2 linked regions of the Caenorhabditis elegans genome follow. The protein of the gene in region 1 interacts with the protein of each later gene in a biochemical or structural test. Each region holds a gene or a part of one and is shown on either strand. Other genes may lie near its edges.

Region 1 (6,100 bases):
AGCTCTGGCCAACAGTCCAATGTCGGCTGTTCCTCCTCCACCACCAACTCTGATGCCATCACCACCGGTAACTTCTTCTCCATTCACATTCGTGCCGAGGAACATGTGTCCACAAGGAGATCCATTGATTACTGTTGATGGCACGCCTATTCAATGTGATCCGTCGAAAGCAGCAAAGTGTCCCGGTGATCATGTGTGTACTCCGAGAGGAAACGAAGCATATTGTTGTCCATCACCAAGTAGGTTGAACTGTTTGTGTAGTTAAAAACACAGAATTGTATCACAAAAACAACTATCTTTGTGCATAAAAAAATCACTTACGCCTACCACCAAAAAATACTGTTTCGCACATCAAAGTGTGCAATAACACATACACATATTTTCATTAATTTCAGTGAACTTCTGCCTACAATCCCGTCCACCAATCTCAGTTTGCTCTGGTCCAGACTTCGAACCTGTCCGTGAAATTCGTTTTACTTACGATCCATTGGCAGATCGATGTGTTCGATTTAGCTTCCAAAATTGTCGTGGAGCTGCTTTCTCACCCACTGGAAGTCTGAACAACTTTGTGAGCAATTCTCAATGCAATCGACTTTGCTGTAATCAAGGATACAATCTTGTTTACAAAAGGCGTCTTCTGATGGCAATGAATGATGATCCAATTGTAGAAGATGATTGACTAATTGACAAATAAGTTCAAAACCTCAAATAAACGGGAAAGACACAATGTGTTCGGTCAAGTATGCGAAATTCGCAACTATCATTTTTTGCTCATTCTCATCCCCATGTATGTAAATTTTGACATTCAATGCATTGTTTATTTTTTTTTATAACCTCATAGTTGTTCAGTTTATTTATTTATGTTGAAAGAATTCAAAATTAAAAAAAAAACTAAAATTGAAAATAAAGCTTCAAAAGTATACCCACAACGAAACAACTATAAAGAAAACTGAAAAAAGTGCCATGGGAGAATTTACTGAATTGCACATGTCTTTTTGGCAGCAACACCATTTTTGTGTGACGCCATTTTCCTCGCGTGTCGGGTAGCATCTACAAAAGGCAACTACTGCTAAAACAATGTTTTAAGAAAACAAAAAGAATACCCTTCATCCTCATCATAACAGTAGTCGTTCACATTTGCACATCCACGAGTTATTGTAGAACCATTTATAAACTTGATACACCATAATTGAATAGGTTCACAATTTGCCGTCTGAAGTTACGTTTATTTTAAGTATTTCAATTGAATCAAAAAGCATTTTTAGCACAGGGTTTAAAAAATAACGAGGTCATAAACTTCTATAAATGTCAGACACTATCAATGATTTATTTTAAATTATTTTTTAAATTTTAATTAATTACATAATTTGATACTGCAAATGTCAGAATTGTTCTCGAAGTACTGTACAAACATATTTGAAATCCACAAAACAAATTATTTGACGGTACCAAGTATTCAAAAACTTTCGAAAACTAAAGATTCAAACAGAAAATATATTTTAAAAGAGCTAATTTACGATAAATCTTACCTGCATTTCTGAATCATAGCATTTTAAAGCAAAAGCATCATCAAAAAGACATAAAACCAGTAAAAAAACCAGTAAACCCATAAACTTTTGGAGCCGCAGCGTCATTTTGAAATGACAGTAGTGATAACATGGCAGCCTTCCCAAAATTTTGATTAGTGACACGGTTTTACAACCACCCGCCTAGCGTCACTTACTTTAGTTTCAGGACATTAATTGACAGTTAACAGTTGTAATCATTCATTTCAAAGAGAGTGAGTGCATTGATGGGCAAAAAACAGTTGACGGAGAGAGTGAGAGAGAGAGAAAAGGAAATGGAGAATATGGATAAAGAGATCGAGAGAATTGTTTTGTTTCAAATTATTATTATTTTTGATTGAATGTAAATTATTATTCTTATTGTTGATTATTTCAGTTTTTATATACAATTGAAAATTGTAAAAATTGTGCACTATTTGATTGCTTTGGAAGAATATTTTGTAAATTTTTCGTCGCTTTTGAGGTGAGGTGTCCTTCTCGATTCTCTTCACTTTCCTGGTCCGGCAAAGCTCATGAACTTGCGAGCTTGAGTCTGAGCATGAAGGAGATCAGAAAAATCGCATCCTTGAGAGAGACCAGCGTTGAGAAGGCATTGACGGTTGCGCTTCATTGTGTTTCGAATTACTCTGAAACTTTGCCTTACAAAATGGAAACATATTTTTTAAAGATTTTTTATGAAAACACTAAAAATTTGAATTAATTGAAACAAAATTTGGTGACTACCCTGAATACCCTAAATGTGGGGAAACTCATGATATAATAGGGCAAACTTTAATTAAATGTTTAGAAAAAAGGGGAAAAATACTCCGATGGATATTTTTATAAGGTAACTGAAAGTTAAATTTGGTAACATAAGATATTCAGGGACTTTTCAAAGTTTTCAATATTTTTCAAATTTTCAGATGTTTTACACATAAAAAATTTAAATTTATCTGAGTTTTTCCAATTCAACCTTTTTAGATTTCGATGCCGATTTCAATTATATTCTTCCGTTGTCTCTATGTCAAAGCTCTCAAAATTGTAATAACTCACTGGTTGGCGTCATAGTCGTACGAGGCTTCAGCACCATCCCTTTTCTGCTCCATGAAACGATCTGAGGAGAGCCCGCCGTCGAATCGGTTATAGAATACACGAGACTCGGCGATGAGCACAGTGGTCGCGATGAGCACCAAGAAGAGCATCGATGACGAGGAGCAGCTCATTTTGTTTTACCTTTAATTGTAACTAGAATTAGCGCAAGATTCAAAATAAGAGCAGTAAGAAAAACGACATGTTGGGAATTAGTTAAAGAACAAGAATCACTTGAAAATAAATATGGGCAATTGAGAAAAGATAGAAAAGAAGCATAAAAGTCAATCAAATCTAGTAGTTTGGTGTTAATGTGTCGATAATACTCGATGTCAATAAAAATGGAAAATGAAAAATTGTTGACTGTTATTCGGCAATTTATTGAGAACCGTTATAACTATAGACATACAATTTTTGTAGTGTATAGGTAATACTTTTAGAGTGATATTATATATACCTCTATCAATAACACATGACGCAAATAATTTTAAAGGGATTCTGGAAAATGAGGTAAGATGTGGTCGACGGTGCGTAAATTTGAGATATCGGAAATCTTTGTTACCAAAAATTTTTAAAATCTTAAAAAGAGGCGAGACGCGGGTAGCAAGTGCATTAAAATATTTTTTGTTGTACACCGTACCGTTCTACCTCTGCTAGTTTTCCACCCATCAGTTCAACTTTGACAATTTGCATAACTGTTCAAAGCAAAGTAGTGGGATGTAATATCGTGAAAAGAAAGAAAAATCGTGTTTTCGTATTTTGTTAATTTGTGAAAAAGTGAAAATATATATTTTTACAAAAGTGGACTCAAATTTATAACTCTAGTGTTCATAAGAAGTGTTACGTTGCCATTAATTGAAAAATTATAAACATCAAGTTTACTTTCATAATTAGGGTACGCAAGAATTCATCCTACCGTGTTTGGTGAAATCACCACAAGTAACTCAACTTTTTTGGAATCGGAGTACCTCACTTAGCAAAATCCGCTCAAAGCTGATTTGTTTAATTTTTAATTTATTCTCACTGTCAGACGTAAGATTGACAAAAATGATCCTTTAGTAATGTTTCACAGTTTGCAATAACAAAGTTTTGATCGAGCAGTATAAACGAAAGTATACAATAGTCCAGTTATCGAATTCCAAAAATAAAACAACTCCGAACATCATCTGAGAAATGAAAAGCTTTTAGGGAGATATTAAAATCAAAAAAGTTCTGTTTTGATAAGATAAGCTACTTTATAAAAAAAACTTACCTTTGTAACAACACAAATCTATCTGTCTAGCACAGAATGATCTCTAAACCTCACTTAACTCTTCATCCATTACACTGCAAATATCGTCGCGAACACACATTCCAAATTCCTAACCCAATTCCTCATTTTGTTAGATTTCACCCCCTAACAATCGTTCACACAAAACACTGCGGTAAAAATGAGAGGAGACGGATTTTAAGAGCACCGAGGAAAAAAGGCAGAGACCAGGAATGGGATTGCTTTGCATATGGGTCTGGTGGCTCCGCCCTTCTTTTCCTTAAAATCACATTGCTCATTGCCAACGTGCTCTTTCGTTTGGGAAAAATGAGTAAAACGAGAGGAGACGTCATAAAATATAATGGGCCAGTACCAACATAGGTCTTTATTATTTAGTATACCAATTATAACATAAAAACTATTTTTGAAATTGAAGTATTACAAGAAAGGTTATTGTAGTTACTGTAGACACCATATGCTTGTACTTGTATACCGAAGCTAAACACCAAATATTATTTTATGAAATTGTCACGAGGTTGTAAATTTTTAAAAAGAGATTTCCATCTCACCTCAAACAATTAGGCAACGATTCAAATGATTATCACGTATCACTTTAGTTTTAAAGTCGATGTCTTTTTTCAATATTTAAATTGCAACAAACGTTATTAATAACTCATTACAGTAGGTCCACGAGGTATAATTCATAATCATTTAATTCCAGCCGACCGGAAGTGTGTGGTGTTGTGAAATGGTCACAGGAAGTAAATTTGAGTGACATTTAATTTTCAGCAAGGCAATAGTGACACGACTGAAACTGTGTCTATGTCACGTGTAAAAAATAGGAAGAAATCGGGTGGGAGCAAGATAGATGATGATGGGCCCATTAGTGTAATGCGACTGTCGTGTATTATTCACCAAGACTTCATGTTCTTTGGATGGTTGTAAGAGTGTATGTGTAAATGTTTAAATGAAATGATGACTCAAAAGAGCAAGATGATGCACAAATTATGATGATTATGATGATAACTTATGAATAAAGTGGATACTAATGAAAAAATGTGGCAAAAGTTTATGATCACACATTAAAGGTGGAGTACTTCCAGAGGACTATTCAAGAACATTCTAAATTTTTAAATTTGCACTCAAAAAGTGGTGATTACCCAGTTTTTGCCACACTTCATCTTGGAAACCGACCAAAATAAAGTTTTCGCTATGGATTTTATATTTTAATTGTCTTTAAAGTATTTGTAATTGATTATAATAAAGTCAAATTTCTCTAAATTGTTAACCCCCACTAACGCTGCTCCAGTTTGAATGGCAACATTAAAAAGGTATTAAAATGCAAACAGCAACAATAAAAGTTAAATTTTTAAAAGTTTCACAAAGTTAAAACTATCAGCAGGCAAATGATTAAATGAGAAATAAAATACGAGGCTCTAAAAAACAACTTATTACAACCCATTGGCTCAGAGAAAATCCAGACAAAAATGAGCTCAAACTTTACAGAAAGTTTCTCTTGTTAGAGTATTTCCCACAAGAAAGCAATAAATATTTCAGAGACAATTTAGCAAAACGAAGAAGTCGTCCACTCGAGTGGATCCTTGAAACACCTGCAACCCACGCCTTCTGAGGAGGCGTTTTGGAAGAAGATGGCTCATTCACAGCTTCTTATATGTTTCGTTTTAAGAAAAGGAGGTGGAGCTAAGAAAACAGTGGAGGTGGTGGGAACGACTGATGAAATGTAGTTGGAGAGGTACGAAACTACATACGTCATTTTAACTGGTATTATTGTGGAAAGAGTGAGAAGTCTAAATAAATTTTAAGCAGAGATCCTTTGGTTAGCAAACAAATAGATGCTTATGAGGTGGGATAATCACGATTTTTAATATTGGATTTTGTGCTTGAAGTATCGGTAAACGGTAAACAGTTTTGGTAATTTCTGGAAGTTTCAAACTCTAACTATATCAGCAACGACTGGCAAATGCTTGCCCAGATTTTATTCAAATGTTTTTTCCAAAACAGGGAAAGAAACTATATTAAAGTCTGATAGTGAGGCTGAGCCTGGTGAGATAAACTGTATTAGAATTTTCACAGTTAGGTAAAATTGGGCAAATAAATGAAAAAAAAATTGGAAAGAAATTCTTGAAATGAAACCGGCCAGAAAGTTATCGGTAAATTTAGAACTTGTATCACTCAACTGAATCGTATAATACACGTA
Region 2 (6,585 bases), on another chromosome or scaffold:
TTGGAAAAAAATCTTGCAAAAAAATCAGAACTTTTTTGTTAATGTTAGTATTAAAATTAAAATAAAAAATTTTAGGGGTTGAGAATGAAACTTTGCCACTTAAAATTTTGCAGTTTACTATTTGAAGTCACAAAAGGGAAAAATTTCCTTGTAGTGCTAATCCTTCAAACTACAGTAATCCTTCCCCATTAGAATTCCAACAAATTGAATTATCCTAATGTAACTTTCTGAACTAATAAGAACATTACTGTTGCGTAAATTGCATAACATTCGGCACGAATCACAAACAGCCAAAAGAAGTTGAAAAAATCTTCATATTTTATTTCGCTCCTTGGTTCTCAAGTACACAAAGGTCATACATATCACAATTTCTAAAAAAAAGTTTCAAACTTTCCAAATCTATTCATCTGAACTTCCCGTCTGACTCACACATCCCTAGTCCCTCCTGTCACCGTAGATTTCCGGTCTTTTTGGAAAATTTCAAAAATTGTTCAAAAAAGAGGCCTAAAAAACGAAAAAAAAAGCTCGTCATTCACTCTGCACCAAATTTTCCAAAATGTTTGACATATCAATGTTCCAAGAGTTCCCAAGAGTTCCAAAAAGACCCTCCTGTCAATCCAGGAGTTTTTTCTTAAAGAAAAAAGTATGATGGGCAAAAAAACGTTTCAGATCCCCCGGAGAGAATATACTTTTTTTGTTAGTTTCAAAACTTTTTTGGTTGAATTTTTGAGCTCTGGAAAAAACCATTCTTGTTAGGGAATACTTGTGCAAGGAAAGGTTTTGAAAAAACAGTTGAAATTTTAGTAATTTTTCAAGGGTCTCGTAACGAAAAACTATATGTTACGGTAGATTTGTCCGATAGTCACCCGTTTCTTACACGGAACTTTCCGTTATTCTGCGGCTCCGTCTTCAGTTTTTGTTGTAGTATGAAATATTTAAGTTATATATTTTAATGCCAATTTAAGGTTTTTGTTAAATTTTCACACCTAATTTCCATAGAATATCCAAACTTCCGCAAGTGTAAAATATTTTGGCTTTCAACCGATTGGAAGCGTTAAAATCCCCTGTCCCTCACCAATCTCCAAACTTTTTTTGTTGGTGAAACTAGGACTTTTCTTGTTTCAATTGAACCTTTCTTCCTATTGCGTGTGCATGGTCAGAAATAAGCAAAAGAGGTCAGTGAATCTGTGCGTCTCTTCGTCTCACATACTATTTCTTTCAAGCATTCGGGGACCCTTTAAATTTGTGCGAAATGTTGCGGAAAAGGAGTGGAAATGATGGAAAGAGCCACCGCCGCCGCTGAGACAATTTCACTCAGTGCTCGTTTTGTCCTTTTTTTCATAGACTAAACATAGATGGAAACTAGCGAGAAAGAGGTAATCGTATTACGCGTTTTTTTCTGGTATGTTTCTTTGCATTCATAGAAATGGATACGTTCTGCTTTCGTTTTTTAGGACCAAAATCTGCTCAACATTTTGATCAATGAGCACAAGGTTTCGAGCAACGTCCGGTTGAAATTTGAGACAATTCGTTGACATTCGGATGCAAGAGAAAAAGAAATGAATAAGACTAGATTCAATTTTTTAAATGAATATTACAGTTTCAAAAATTATTCAAATCAAAAGTATCAGAGATCAAAAATTGGGTTTCCATTTTTTTTAAACTACATCAGAAAACCTGCACGCAAGGATGTTTCTTGACAGCAAAATACACTTTCTATTAATTTCAAGAATAACTTTTAAAGTTTCCAAAGTTACAAATATTAACAACAATATATTAATGTCCAAGGTGAACTATTTAAGTTATAAAACTTACGAATTAAGTGCGAACTCCGGAATATTGTAGACATATTCTCGATTATAGCAATTGCAAATTTTGTCACTGACATCAACTGGGCATACTAGTACTCCGAAAGTGTCTTCACAAAGACTTGCAACGTATCTGAAACACATTTTTGGATATAATGAAGAATCTGCGATAATAAAAGAACTAGTTTAAATCTGTGATAGACAGGCACATTTTTTATTCAGGCGGGAAAGCCCGCCTACCTATCTATTTTGCTTTCCAGACAGGCTTTGAGGAGAGTGAGAAAATCTCTACATTTTTGTCCAGTAATTATCTTTTTTCAAAGAGACTTCAAACAGTTTCATACAACATTTGAGGTCTTTTGCAAACTTTTTTACTAAAATAAATATTATTTTCAGATGGAACAAGTCTACTACTTTGCTATATCAAAACTTGATTAAAAACGTTGGATTATCATATTGAAATTGCAGTTTTCTACTTTTGCAAAAATATTTCCGCACAGTCCGGTTTTGAATGTTTCTGTTGAAAAATTTGGAAAAATAATTCAAACATTTGAAAAAGTTGCAAAACTTTAGATTAAATTTTTAAAAATATTTTTTCAATACAAACTAGTAAATTGAACATTTTCAATTTTAAGGTATATATCAATTAAAAATTTTAAAAGTTGCTAAAATGGAGTACTGTAAATTTTTCAGAAGCAAATCCCGATTTAGTACAACAAACATTTCATATTTAAAAATAATTGAATGACTCATGAAATATTTTTAATTTAAAAATTAAACTTTGGAACTTTCCAAATAATAGTTTCAAACTAATAATAGCTTCAACCATAAGAGACCACAAAAAGGTCCGCGGAGTGTTAATTGTCATTTGAAATAGAGAAAAGAGGTGAAGCTTCATAAATAATAGAGTCCTTGTTTCAATAAGGAACAAAAAAAGGCGCCTCCATTCTGCTCACCTATCTTTATAGTGCTCTACGAGCATAAAAATAAAATAGAAGCATGCTCCACAGGAAAGTGAGTCAAATGATTCAGGTGCATGATCTCCAAAATTTGAAAATCTGCATGACATCTGAAAATCGTCGACGACTGCTCCCGCCGTGGATATCGATGGATTCATGGTGGGAGGCGGAGAGACGAAATGTTTCAAAAGTGCGAGCAAGATGGGCGGAGCTTGCAAGTCCGCAGTCGTGTTTGTGATGGAGGCGCAGTTGGAGAGGTGACTGAAGAATGAAGAAGAAAAATGAGGATTTGGGAATGGTCGAAGGTTACTGAAAAAATGTTAATGGAGTGGGAAAGTAAATTCTAAAAAAGTAAGAAAAGTAAAAAAAAATAAATGAGAAATAAGAAAAGAAAATTGAGAAAAAAGTGAACTGTGATGCCTCAATGTGAGGAATTCAGAGAATACGAGTAGGAAGTGAATTCTCAATTTTGGAATGACTTTGTGTGGGGTCTCTAGTGTCATAGTTAAGCGGCTTGTAAGGAAATGAACTTTTTATGAAAATGAATCATAGCCATGATTTTATTTCTAAACGGGTTGCAGTCCATCTGGGCAACGTTCATGTTCACTAAATGGCTCACAAAAAAGCAACTGGCAATTTCGACAATTATGGATTGCCTCCAAGAATACGTTAACCATGTTTAAACTGGATCTGGCAAGATCATTTTAAAGTAGGGAAAAGATGGCTCAAAAATACCCATTTTAACCTCAACAGTTGCAACATACCGTATGTTCTTTATTAGTACTACACCCCATTGATCCATTTTGAATGGTTCAAACTTAGTTGATTTTGAAGATATCGATAAACAGTTCATTGCAAAACTACAGAAAAAGAATTGAAAATTATTTTTTCAGTTGACAATTTTTTCATGACAACAAATACAACCAAGAGCAGCCATTACTAGTAGAAAATACACAGTAACTATCGAAATAGACAATTCCGATTTAAAACGCGAAAAAGGAGTTGCAAACTTCGAATAATCATTCTTATGTTTATTTTACTGGAAAACGAAAACATTTTTTGTCGAAATCCTGCGACAGAATAAATGGACACTGCGTAATATTCTACTCTAAAATACCGAATTTTTATTTATTTCTTTTCCTCAACCTTCATATTATCACTAAGTCCTATAAAACGATTGAAGTAAATAAGGCATAAGCCTTTATCGTGATAATAAACTCAAAAACACCATCCTAATAGTACAACTCCAGGATTCCATCCTGAAGCTTTTTTGATGATTTATAATTCTGAAAAGTGCTTTTACTGCTCAATAATACATCATTGTTCTGACATGAATTATCTGTTAGGGTCGACTATATTGAATCTCATTATTGTAAAAAATTTCATGACTCATAATCTGAGAATTTATATATTGATCTATGAGATAATGAAATCGTTCGAGAATGTTTAGAAAATAGTTCTGCAAAAAAGGTAATTTGAGACATTTTTGTGACGAACCCTACTGTAAAAATTCCATACCGTATTTTCTCTATCAGTCTTGCACGCATAACTAACTTTTGACCGGTTTAGAGGGGAGCAAGATTATTAGAAAAAATACGGTATATGTAAAAGTAAAATATTTGATGCAAAAAGTGAGAAGACATTCAACATCAACATGAAATCTATTTTCATATGTTTTTCCAATTCAAAAAAATCTTCATGAGCAAGAACCAAGTGGGAAAGCGAGCAGTAAAATGACTCGTTACTGGGAAACAATATGTTTTTCGTCAGACATCCCGCCACCCTAAGTGACTACTTTTTTATATAAGGGAATTGTCTCAAAATAGATAACAAATGTGTATAGTCGGAGGAAATTGTGAAAATTAGAGATTTGTTGTCATGACGGTGGTTGGAAATCAGTAAGAAAGGAGAATAGAAGACACAACATTGATGGATGAGAGAATACAAGTCAGGCGACTGTAAAAGCTATGAGGAATTGGAAAAATCACATGCGAGAAAGTTAGAAGAGAAATTTAATGTCGCAATGGATGAAAAACCTATAAGTTTATAGTTTAACAGTCAATCCAGGGGTAGGCGGCAAATGCCGGTCGGCAAAGGGAGTTGCCGACTTTGGCGTTTGCCGGAAAATTTTATTATCGGCAAATTGTGAAATATAGCAAAACACTTACAGCTGTATTTTTCTTTTGAAATATTTCCCCGTTTTATTTTGATCATTTTTGATATTTTTGTTGAATTTCCTTAGCTTTCTGCGAGTTCCAAAAACAATTAAGAATGGATTCGATTTCGCAGTTTAAAATTAAAATTCCAAAAGGTAAAAAAATTGCAAGTTTTTTGGCATATCGGTATTCAAATAATTTAAATTCGCTCGGTTTTTGGGCTTTTAACAGACGAACGGATAAATGCTATCAACATTTTTGAAAAACATGCATTATTTAAAGGATCATCAGGAATAACAAATTTTGCATATTTCCTGAATGTTCCTTTTTAGCATAGTGCAAATTTTACCTGAAAATATTCCTTAGAATTCATAATTCAGAAAATAGGCACTATAAGTGAAACGTTATTTTTAGGAAATAAATTGTAGGTTTTCCTTTGAAATGGGTTTGTGGAAAACACATAGAGTAGGTGAAAGAGATGGATACCGTATAATTGTTGCCACGTTTTTTGATCAACCATATGTAAAGACTACACCAAAGTGCTAAGATTATTTTTCTGTTAAAATATTTTCTAGAAGTTCTATATTTTACTTTTGGTACTAGGATTTTTCCGAAATGAGCACATGGAAGCTTAGGCTCCAAAATCTTACAGTTAGTTACTAAAAATAAGAAAATTTAGTAGCAACACAAAAATGCATTGATATTTCTGCTCCCAACTAATCCACCAGATAAATATGAAATTTAAAAAAGAACGAAATTTAAGCTCTCCCTTACTAGACATGTCATCATCAAAAATCGCAGCAGAAAAAAAGAGATTGCCTTGTCGGCTCAATCTTCGTCAACGTATGCAGGTACACATGCTCTGTTGGTTAATTATAGTCTATGAACTGGTTCATTTTCTATGCATGTTCCTACCCACACATTCAGATAACCAAAGATTCAATAGTTTCATGTTAATTCATTGCATAATTATTATGCGAACGTGTAAGACTGAAAATAAATTAAGATTTTTTGATACTTGTAAAGTTCAGTCTTATATCCTGGTAAGGCAAATATATTTAATTTTTTTGTCTGGCGGGGTTGTTGAGAAATTAAGTTTAAGGTTTGAGTTTAGAGTGGAAAATTTAAAATTGCTAAATTTTTCGAAATTTTCCTACTGACGATACCATCATCAAAACATCTATTGCTCAAAAAATTCGACAAAATTGGCAAAATGAAAACTATTTTTAAAACTTAAGGTTTAAAAAATCTCTTAAATTATGTTTCTATGATCTTTGATCGCTCTACGTTCTAACAAAACCCCATATTAAAATCGAGAATAATGTTGCGAACGTGTTAGACAGGAAGGCAAACTGAAATGATAGAAACAAAAAGAAGGCAAATTTCCAGAGTATCGGGTGACACAAGAACGGTTGAAACAAAATGAATGACTGGTTTGAGTAGGAAGAATTGATGAGAGCATACAAGAAAAAGAAGAAAAGAGTTATGGAAACTGTAGCCTAACTAGTGTCAACAATCTAATTACCGAGGGTGGGTTTTCAAAATTATGGCTTCTGTTGTTATTTGCAAAAAAGGTGTTGAGTTTCAAATTTATTCATAAATTTTACTATTGAAATTTTTCTTAAGTTTCAAACATGTAATAAAATAGTTGCCGTTCATCGT

Evidence for each region.
Region 2: the proteins of ctdh-1 (region 1) and dhrr-1 interact in a test that uses a peptide from one of them, tested with the Caenorhabditis elegans proteins (one large-scale study listed by BioGRID).

Annotation. Positions count from the first base shown.
Region 1 is NC_003283.11:9,674,954-9,681,053, reverse strand, and holds ctdh-1 (CalciTonin/Diuretic Hormone 31), read right to left. Parts: upstream 2,778-6,100; 5' UTR 2,768-2,777; coding exon 2,598-2,767; intron 2,192-2,597; coding exon 2,053-2,191; 3' UTR 1,752-2,052; downstream 1-1,751. Other genes in the region: ZK287.4 (BPTI/Kunitz inhibitor domain-containing protein), read left to right, coding at 3-239, 396-679; ZK287.9 (Activin_recp domain-containing protein), read right to left, coding at 912-1,050, 1,104-1,213, 1,530-1,634.
Region 2 is NC_003281.10:8,941,155-8,947,739, reverse strand, and holds the start of dhrr-1 (G_PROTEIN_RECEP_F2_4 domain-containing protein), read right to left. Parts: upstream 3,084-6,585; 5' UTR 2,926-3,083; coding exon 2,765-2,925; intron 1,942-2,764; coding exon 1,816-1,941; intron 1-1,815.